Drosophila melanogaster: one gene and its partner. The protein of the gene in region 1 interacts with the protein of each later gene in a pairwise test. Each region holds a gene or a part of one and is shown in the gene's direction. Other genes may lie near its edges. The genes, in order: Tao and gw.

The links.
Region 2: the proteins of Tao (region 1) and gw interact in a two-hybrid assay, tested with the Drosophila melanogaster proteins (one large-scale study listed by BioGRID).

The regions. Positions count from the first base shown.
Region 1 is NC_004354.4:19,576,576-19,581,785, reverse strand, and holds the start of Tao (Tao), read left to right. Parts: upstream 1-1,985; 5' UTR 1,986-2,388; intron 2,389-3,283; exon of another isoform or gene 3,284-3,884; intron 3,885-4,191; 5' UTR 4,192-4,291; coding exon 4,292-4,521; intron 4,522-4,586; coding exon 4,587-5,091; intron 5,092-5,210. Other genes in the region: CG14218 (uncharacterized protein), read left to right, coding at 127-790, 852-1,240. UniProt on the Drosophila melanogaster protein: Serine/threonine-protein kinase which regulates the Hippo/SWH (Sav/Wts/Hpo) signaling pathway, a signaling pathway that plays a pivotal role in organ size control and tumor suppression by restricting proliferation and promoting apoptosis.
Region 2 is NC_004353.4:657,323-662,603, reverse strand, and holds the start of gw (gawky), read left to right. Parts: upstream 1-1,995; 5' UTR 1,996-2,175; intron 2,176-2,620; exon of another isoform or gene 2,621-3,044; intron 3,045-4,095; 5' UTR 4,096-4,266; coding exon 4,267-4,702; intron 4,703-4,919; coding exon 4,920-5,281. Other genes in the region: CG46466 (uncharacterized protein), read left to right, coding at 631-1,449. UniProt on the Drosophila melanogaster protein: Required for gene silencing mediated by micro-RNAs (miRNAs). Silences both polyadenylated and deadenylated mRNAs. Required for miRNA-mediated translational repression and mRNA decay. Not required for miRNA target recognition.

The DNA.
Region 1 (5,210 bases):
GCGACGCCCAGGCCCGCGTGGCACCACTCCGTTGGAGTACAGGCAGGCGACTCCAGCGCTGACCAGCGCCAGTTCTGATTGGAACGGCCTTTCGAGCGGTACACACATACTCTTTGATCCGTCAGGATGAGGATGTTACGTCTGCAGTTGATGGCCCTGCTGTTGGTGGGCCTGCTCCTGGCGCTGATCTCAGCCGATCCTGGGCCGCAGGACACGGAGGTGGCGCGAGAAAAGCGAGGCACCATCACCCTGGACTTTGGCCTGCTCCTGCGTAACCTGCTGCTCAAGAGCGCCCAGCTGTCCTCGGCTAAGGCCAATCTGGCGCGGACCACACGTCGTCCACCGACGACCACCACGACGACGCCGCCTCCGCCACCACCACCTGCTCCGATACGCATTCGTAAGCCCATCTGGCATCCGTTCTTCAGTTCCGGTTTCCTGCCCGGGGCCTTCGATGTGGACTACGCTGATCCTCCGGCACCACGACCTCCAGCGCCTGCGCCGCCCACTACACAGCCACCTAGACGCGTCCGACCGCAGGTGCGACCACGTCCACGCCCAACGACACTGGCACCGCCTCCTCCGCCGAACTATGACTACGACTATGACTATGATGCGCAGCCAGCGGCGCCAGCTGAACCTCCACCGCCTCCACCTCCTCCGCCGCCGCCCACAGCTCCGCCACGCCCAAGGCCACGGCCGCGCCCACGACCCCAGCAGCCCGATCCTCAACAGCGGCGTCCCGCCCAGCTGGGCGACCGCCTTATCTATCAGTACGCACAACCTACTGGTAAAATACGAAACCTCTTAACTAACTGCCGTACAATTGGGTTCTCTCCGACACTTTGCAGATACCTTCTTTAGGTCGCGAGCCGTGGCGGAGGCGACGGCGGCGGCTGACCCAGACAGCGGAGACTTAGTTGACTCCCAGGACCCGGACTCAGTTGCCGATCCGGATGCGGCTGCATTTCCTGTCACTGCAGATGGGCCTGACTCCCAACCTGCTTCTCCCCCACCAAGTGCTTCGCGATTTTTGGTCAACTACGAGAGCGATGACGACTTTGGGCAGCCGTTTGCTGGACAGCGGGCTCAGGATGCGGGTCAGGATGGGGGTCAGGATCAGGGTTCAGCGGGTGCTTCTGGTATTCCCGCATCATCCCAAGGCTACTTCCCGCCCCTCGAGCTTGGCAACACGAATCGCTTCCCAACTTTCAATCAGCAGCAGTACTTCTATAATTAAGCGGTAGAGTTTCTCATTTTTCCAACGTGGGCAATAAAATTAACTTCGCAGCTTGATATATTATGTGTATGTACATATGTATAGCTTATGTGTTGCAGTGTGCTTAAAATTGAACATAAACTATTTTAAATATAAGCATCCATTTTTTTGTATTCCCAGTTTGCATAGTTGTAAATAACATATCAAATAAAGTAATAATGTAAGTTCCCCGTAATTTATATTAACTAGGAGGGCGTTAAATAGCTAAGTAAATACCGTATCATGAAATTATCAGTATGTTTTCAAAAAGTGCGCCAAACTTGTTGCGATGAGTATCGGTATTTGACTTAGCGAACTGAGCTATTAAAAAGTTATTAAAAATTTGATACATATATGTGTTCTTCTAACATAGATACCCAACTGCGATTTCGTGAGCTGTAATTCTGCAGAATTCTGTATAAGTTAAATTATTGATTTTCAAACATTAAAAAAAAAAACTAATAATTCCAAAACGATAGCGTAACCACGGACATCACCACCCGGTGCACGTTCGATAGACTATCGATAGAGACCAAAAAACGAACCTTTTCTCTTAAAACTAATTGAATTGAGCGAATTCAACTATAAAAACGCCTCTGCAAGAGTTAACTTCGCAAACATATTGAAAAAAATAAGTTAATTTTAAATATATCGCCTAAAATCGGGATTTTTTAGTAAAAAGCGGTCAGTGGTAGTTTTTGGTTTCAAGCCGCTCGGCTGATCTGGTAACACTGTGTGCTGTGTGAACGTGAACTTTACGGAATTTAATTAGAGAAACGGGTGAAGAAAAGTTGCAAATAGACAATCGCTGCCAATTTTCCATGCCGTAGATGGGTGCATCTGCGACGTAACGATCCCCCGAATTCGGTGCTTGGCACTCGAGATGTGTAGCCAGTGCGGATTCGTGAACGCAACGCGTGTGCAGTGCAGGGCAATAGTTGCCATTCCCAGTAGCAGTATCACTACCACTACCAGTCCCATTCCGATTCCCGTTCCCAGTCGCAGCAGGGCCAATAACAGCAGCAGCGGTCGTAGGGAAAGCGACGTATGAAAGGGAAAAATGCATACAGATGCGAAAAGCGAGACCCAGTTGCGCCGATAAACAAGCAAGCACTAATTGATTGCCAAATGTAAGCCCTCGAACGCAGTGGAAAAAGTTCAAACGTTTTTTCTTTTTCGCCTCGCCAGATTTATGCATTTTCCACTGTCTCTCCATCCCTGTGTGCGTGTGTGCCTGTGTGTGTGAATGCGTATGCTCGTGTACGTGTGTGTATGTGCATACTGTTCTTTTTCGCGTTTGCGTTTTGGCCAATAAATGCGAATTTCTTGTGTGCCATCTGCCCATTGAATTAACAATGTGGTATTATCATTGATCCCACAAATTTCAATCAAATACAGCGCATTTGCGGGTTCTGAGTGCTACATCTGATTTCGGTGCGACGACTCCCTCAACGCGCGAGAACGGGATAGCACCAGTCGAACCATACGAATGTGTGTGTATTTGTCTGCTCCCCCGACGAGCGTGAGTGTGTGTGTGTGCAAGCAAAACAAAATTAGGCGATTCAAAACAGTTGCAAAATGCAGCGAAATAAGCCAATTTTAATCGCAACACATAGATCAACCATGGTAATCAGTCAATAAGTGGTCAGTCAACGAAGAAAACCAACAACTGGCGCAGCATCACCGCCTTCGTGCGTTCTTTTTCGGCTCCTTCGGTGTGTGCCTAGTCCGCACCCAAGGAAAAGCCAACCCAACTGAAAATCAATTCGAATCGCAGAACTCTTTGGTATTCTACTACAATTCCCTGTGACGGAGCGCCACAGCACAGTGCAAGCCACGGAAAAGGCACGAATTGAATTGAATTTGTGTCGCCCGAAATGCAAAACAACAAGCAATCCCACCGCACATATACATATAGAGCGCGCGCGTGAGTGTGTGTGAGCGACATGGCTGCTCTTTGTGCAATAGTGTGGTGGCTATGAAAAATAGGCGTGTTTCTGTTTCGCGTCGCAGGCAAAGAATTGCAGTCGCCGCACCACAGCGGACTAATTGTATTGAGAATTTTTGCCAGGCGGCGATAGGCGAAAGCCGGAGCTCCGACGGGGGCCAAAATCCGCGTCTTTAGCCGGCGGATATCCGCAGACGCCCGCAAAACGCCTCCGCATGCACAGACATGCATACTCCAATGTATGCATGTGTGTGTGTGTATTTGGATTCGCAACGGCGATAAATGCACCCCTTTGGTGCCGTTACTCCTTGGCAGCTCGCGTGTGTTTGTGTGTCAGTCGTAACGACCTTTGATTACCCTGCAGCACGTGTGCATACCCTACACCTAGCTAGTTAGTCCAGCTTGACCACAAATACCGCCCTACTGCACGTGCGCATCCACTCCACTCATTACTTGTTCGAAATCCAAGCAAATGAACTTAACGGCGTTAGTCATACCGACTGCCAAATGCCCTAGACCACTTACACCCCAGCTGTCGTAATCTGGCCAAAAAGCAGCTGACAAGTTGGTAACAAGCTGAGGAAAATAGCCTGGCCATAAAAGACGGTGCCAACAGTGAATATATTTGCGATAAGGCCGTGCTGCGTGCGGAATTCGGAGTTTTGAATGATTCGTACAGTATGTGCGAGCATGAATCACTTGATCGATTTGATGATAGTCGGCTTTTAGCTGTTCCCATCCGTCCGTCCGTTTGACCGTCTCCCCATGCAAATGCTGACCAAAGCACAGTGCCCACTGTCCACTGGCCCAGCCATTCCCGCTACGCCCCGTGCCGCCCAATTCAATTGGTCCGCAGTCTCAGCGTTTCAGCCTGAAATCCCCCAAAAATGTCGACCCTTTGAACATGACTAAGTGACTGGCGCAGGCTGTGAATGTGACTGACTAACCGGAATCGCCTTTTTTTCGCCCCACCCGATCCGCACAGAACTTCAAGACAGCAGAGTAGCCAGCTGGAGCTGCAAGCTGCGAGGAGAAGCACGCAGGTCGACCACTGAGAGAGCTGGGCTAGAGCATGAAAGACAGCCATGCCTTCGGCACGACCTGGTAGTCTCAAGGATCCGGAAATAGCCGACCTATTCAACAAGCATGACCCGGAGAAAATCTTCGAGGACCTGCGCGAAATCGGCCATGGGTCTTTCGGCGCGGTCTATTATGCGCGATGCAACCTCACCAGGGAGATCGTGGCCATCAAAAAGATGTCGTACACCGGCAAGCAGAGCCAGGAGAAGTGGCAGGATATTCTCAAAGAGATACGGTGAGCACTGGCTGACACTTGCGTTCGCCCGAGTGACTTCTAATCAATTTATGTGTACACAACAGCTTCCTTCGCCAATTGAACCACCCGAACACCATAGAATACAAGGGATGCTATTTGCGCGAATCAACCGCCTGGCTGGTGATGGAGTACTGCGTGGGCTCCGCCTCGGACATCATCGAGGTGCACAAGAAGCCGCTGCACGAGGACGAGATCGCCGCCATCTGTCTGGGCGTGCTCAGTGGGTTGAGCTATCTGCACTCGCTGGGCCGCATCCACCGTGACATCAAGGCGGGCAACATCCTGCTCACGGACAACGGCGTCGTCAAGCTGGCCGATTTCGGTAGCGCTGCCATCAAGTGTCCGGCCAACAGTTTTGTCGGCACGCCCTATTGGATGGCGCCCGAGGTGATCCTGGCCATGGACGAGGGCCAATACGACGGCAAGGTGGACGTGTGGTCGCTGGGCATCACCTGCATCGAACTGGCAGAGCGCAAGCCTCCCTACTTTAACATGAACGCCATGTCGGCGCTCTACCACATTGCGCAGAATGAGTCGCCGACTCTTCCGGTGAGTAGCAATCGAAGTTTTAATTTCTTGGTAGGAGTCTGTTTTGATAGCAAAACTGAAGTATGCCAATGTATTTATTTACGTATCGCTCTCATGTGTCCCTAGTGTTATTGTTTTAT
Region 2 (5,281 bases), on another chromosome or scaffold:
CATAGAAAGTATATGTATGTAATAGGAACGCATCGATCCCATTTTATACTCACATGTTTCCAAATGTTTACACGCTTGTTCTAACGACCACGAACCGCCCAAAAACTGCCAAAAACAATTTTAACCAAATACCTACAAATCGTTCAAAACTGTAACGCCCATATCAATTTAAACACACATAAACCCTATGTAGTATATACATACATATGTATGTGTCTAGATTAGAAAGAAACACCCATCCGAGTTGATACTTCCGTCTGCCCCTATGAATGTTGTAATGTCGGGAAGCACTCCTCTGGCTACCAAAAATTAGTAATGTAAATAAAGGAGAGGTGGGCTAATTTGATTCTAAGGTTATATATTTCTTTTTTATTGCATTTGTTTTCGGTTTGGACATCATATAGTGTCCAAATCCCGAAGTTCATTAACTAGTCTCGGAAACCTTTTTGTTCACCTGTTATGTTCTTTTTTAATTTTTAATAACCCCCTTACTTTACGAGTGAAGAGTATAAAAGAATTATAAATACTTTTTCAAGAATTCAGGTTAATATAATTATTCGATTTTATGATAGAATCTAACGTTCCGCTAACCATTTAATACAGCAAACCATATTTATTTTCAGATCAAAAATGACAACACACGATGAGGCTCAGTCATACTTCTCACGTCTTAATTCAATTTCCGAAAAAATTACCTGCGATCTCAATAAAGTTAAATCTACATACAACCAAGACGCTTGGCTTAAATTGACTTTAAACGAACAGGAAAAAATATTGAATAACCAATTAATAGATCCTGTTATATTTTCTAAGTACTGTCATAAGACTAAAGAAAACTATGCGGCACAGGATCCGTACGAAAATACTGAAGTTAGTAAAAATGATTACCGTAAATTTTGTTTCAGAGACATTGTATATTTATATAACGGCCAAGATTTACACACATATAATTATCAAAACGTTGGTTTAAAAATATTACGCGATGAAAACACCGGAGATTTTCAAGATGAACATTCGTTTCCATTTTCTTATCGAACCAAATCACAAATTAACATAGTATTAAAAGAATTTGATGATATCTGTCTTGTTGAAACTCCATTAGGCGTAAAAAAGGCCATTCATTTAAAATTGAAGACAAAAGATTCAACCAATAAAAAAATACCAATTCTCCACCTTAATTCTAATGATAAAACCGGCGTTAACACAACGGAAAGAAAGATTTCCATTCATGAAAACTTCTCAAAAACCCAAACTGTTTATATTGATGAATGTATTGAATCTAATGAGAAAATGCAACTGCTCGTTAAATGTGGATCGAAAAACAGTGTGTTAAACGACTTGTCTGATTATGAAAACGAATTTAAAGATGCACGTCAAGACGAAAATACAAAACTGTTATCCCCTGAACTAAAAATGCCTAAGGGTTTCGATTTTCTTAGCAATTGGTAAAACCTATTTAAATCTCATAGATAGTCGAAGGAGAGCCGATATTTTAGAACATAATTTCATTTGATTTCAAGGCAAAACACCAAAACATACACATTAATATTAATCGGTCGTAAGTCCAAACTTTATACATTACATTATTAAGGATTCTTTTTTAACATAGACTTAATAAAATAAGTTATGAATTTAATGGATTGCCCAAACCTGTTTCAATTCTCACTTCAATAAGGCATTCAAGCTTTAAAATTTATTAATGCATATGTTATCTCACTGTATTGTTTTAATCCCTTAAATTTCATTTGAATTGTTAGAAATGGTCGAGAGTTATATGAGTTGGAACTTGTTTGAAACAGCTCTGTTTTGAATTAATTTAAATTATATCAGCTAATTTATTTTAATCAATTAATCCTTCTGTTGTGTACCCTCTATCTGACCTCTTCGATGTGAACGGGTCACAGCACTTATTTTAGGCAGTTGTGTAAACTGGGTATTACCTAAGATTGATTAATATCGATTAGTTTAAGAAAATATCGGACATCTACCTAGAAGAGTCTGTCGTGATCCAGGCGAAGTGCGAGTGAGAGCATCGTATAGTTACTTTTTATTTAAATTGCGTGTGTTAAAATGAATTAGCACGAGTAGTGAATGTTTTTGTGTGCGTAATCTTTCGAAAACAAGCGCTTTGTCATTAAAACGAAAAGATTGCCAACAGCCCACCACGGATAGAATGTACGGAGTAATGCAGCTAAATTGAAGTAGAATAATTTTAATGTATGGTTGAAGACGTACTCAGTACGATTAAAAGCGAAACTTTCTGACATAACCTAAGTGTGCATAACCTAAATGGTCGCAAAAACCCAAGCGTTTAGTTTCGGACATACGCATGTGTGTATCAGTGCAGAATAAATTCTGTTCGCTTGTGTATCGTGCATTGGAAAAGTCTATATGTACATATGTTCCAGTCAAGAGTTGCCACGCTTTAAATCTTTTACATAATGACAAAGCAATAGGGAATTTAAATGTGTCGCATTTGCTTTGAGGTTTTCCACACCAACAGTTAAAATTTAGTAATAGTGTAATTAAAAATAAAGTAAGCATTTTGCATATTTGCATTAGTCTATACTCCACATACCTTTCCATTCCGTCTTTAAATTTTGACTAGGTGGCAATATTGCAAGCAGGAATATCTGTATGGGTTTATTTAATACACTAGTAACTGCCGTCCCCATCGTCGAACGTGCGCAGAAATTTATATTCAATTACATCGAATTATAATTATTGTTGAGTCTAATCAGTTTTCGCATTCAAGATTGTTATTAATCCCAGTTTATTTTGTGAAATATGAAAAACTATAATTGATTGTCGAATGTGTGTATGTTTTACAACACATACACACTTTGTGAACTCGTCAAAGTGGCTTGACATGCATACACACAAAAATGCACATATATTTACATATATAGAGAAAATCAACTTCTCGTTCAGTAAAGGCAAAAATTGTTGCAAATATTCGGTGAACTATTAGCGTATACACAAGTGTTCAATTTTACTATAAACGCATATTCTGGCAATAGATATTAATTTCTAATTTCTGTTTGGTAGGTTTTAGTTAGATCTCCATTTTGTGACGTTCTCAGCTTTTCGCTTGTATTTCTACACATAGGGTACAAGACACGCGAATATACTAAGTATTGTACAATGACTTCTCTACATATGCACTAGAGTACTGAAAATGTATTCATACAAATGTATATACATGTATATATCTATCGCATTAGTCTTTTTGCCAATACTTGCATATATACAGGTTGTGTAAATACATTTTAAATTCTAAGTTTATTTGAGCATAATTGCAAGTGCGAAATTAGGAAAGGGAGACATAAAATAGGGTGCTTCCGTCAATGTCTGCCTGCCCAGAGTTGACAAATTCATTTTACTTGTGTACATATGCATATGTATATTTATATACCATTACAGAGTTGTGAATTTAATTGTTTTATTTTTTGACATGCATTCGTTTTTCACACAGGAATTTGTCGTTAATGTGGGTGGGGATTCTGCCGGTTGGGCAGCAGACCTGGTAGGTCAGCGATCGCGATGCATATTTCATTTTTAAAATTCTTTATGTACATACTAAGTATACATGTTTAACTCCTGTCAAATGACTCCCACTCTTATATACCCATATGTATGTCCTCAGACTTTTTGAATCGATTATAAAGCTTAAATTTTTATGATTTCTCCTTCAGAATTTTAACTGATGTTATGCAGTTAAAAATCTGTAAAGAAGATATTGATTAAGCCTACGAAAAGCTGATCAGAATTAAAAAATTTTTTAAGAACAACGAACAATAGAAAAACTAAAAACAAACGTGCACAACGTAGGGGTCACTAGAATCTGCATGCTTATTCTCAACTGTCTAGCTTTTATGTCGAAAACGCTTCCGCTATGTAACATACTTTAGAACAAATCTGGTATACCATATACCATTTTACTCTATTAATAATGTGTATAAAGCATAAACGTATCACGGTGATTAAGTTTATTTATCCTGTGTATATACAAGAAAATAAAAAAAGAACTTAGCAATTTGATTTAGAATGAATATTTTGTAATAAAAATAATAAATGTTTTCTATATTTCTACAGAACACGGAAAGAACAAGGATTCAGATTAAGTCATTCCTTTTCGATTAAATTAAATAACTTTTAAAAATTGCCATAAATGCTTATGATAATGAAGTTAAAGATCAAGTGGATGTTGGAATAGTAAGGAATGCTACTTTTGAAGCTGACAATCAGTTAGAACACTTGAGCACTATGCGTGAAGCCCTTTTTTCCCAAGATGGCTGGGGCTGTCAGCATGTTAACCAGGATACTAATTGGGAAGTTCCCAGTTCGCCAGAACCAGCCAATAAGGATGCACCCGGTCCACCAATGTGGAAGCCAAGCATTAACAATGGTACTGATCTTTGGGAGTCCAATTTGAGAAACGGAGGTCAGCCGGCCGCACAGCAAGTTCCAAAGCCGTCGTGGGGTCATACACCATCCTCTAACTTAGGTGGAACATGGGGTGAGGACGACGATGGCGCCGATAGTAGTAGTGTGTGGACTGGAGGAGCTGTTAGCAACGCGGGATCCGGAGCTGCAGTGGGAGTAAACCAAGCCGGAGTTAATGTCGGTCCAGGCGGTGTTGTTTCGTCTGGCGGACCTCAGTGGGGACAAGGTGTCGTTGGCGTCGGACTTGGATCAACTGGTAGGCCTAATATCTATTAGAATTAATGAAGTTAAGCGCAAACGATCAGATAAAGGCTCTAGCTTTTCCCTCAAAATGTGACTAACAATACATGATAAAAACATAAAGTGTAGTAATTGAAGTTGGAGCCTTATCTGGGGAATTACCTATTCTAAGTTCTACAGAAACTTTTATTTCATTAACCCGAAATACTTTTATATTTCTGCTGTTATTTAAGGAGGTAACGGGTCAAGCAATATAACTGGATCGTCTGGAGTCGCAACAGGTAGTAGCGGAAACTCCAGCAACGCTGGTAACGGTTGGGGAGACCCTCGTGAAATACGCCCTTTGGGAGTTGGTGGCTCCATGGATATTCGAAATGTTGAACATCGCGGCGGTAACGGTTCTGGAGCAACTTCGAGCGATCCACGAGACATTCGCATGATCGATCCGCGTGACCCTATTCGAGGAGATCCCCGTGGAATATCTGGTCGTCTTAATGGGACCTCTGAAATGTGGGGTCATCATCCACAAATGTCCCATAACCAGTTGCAAGGTATCAACAAAATGGTTGGTCAAAGTGTAGCAACTGCCAGCACC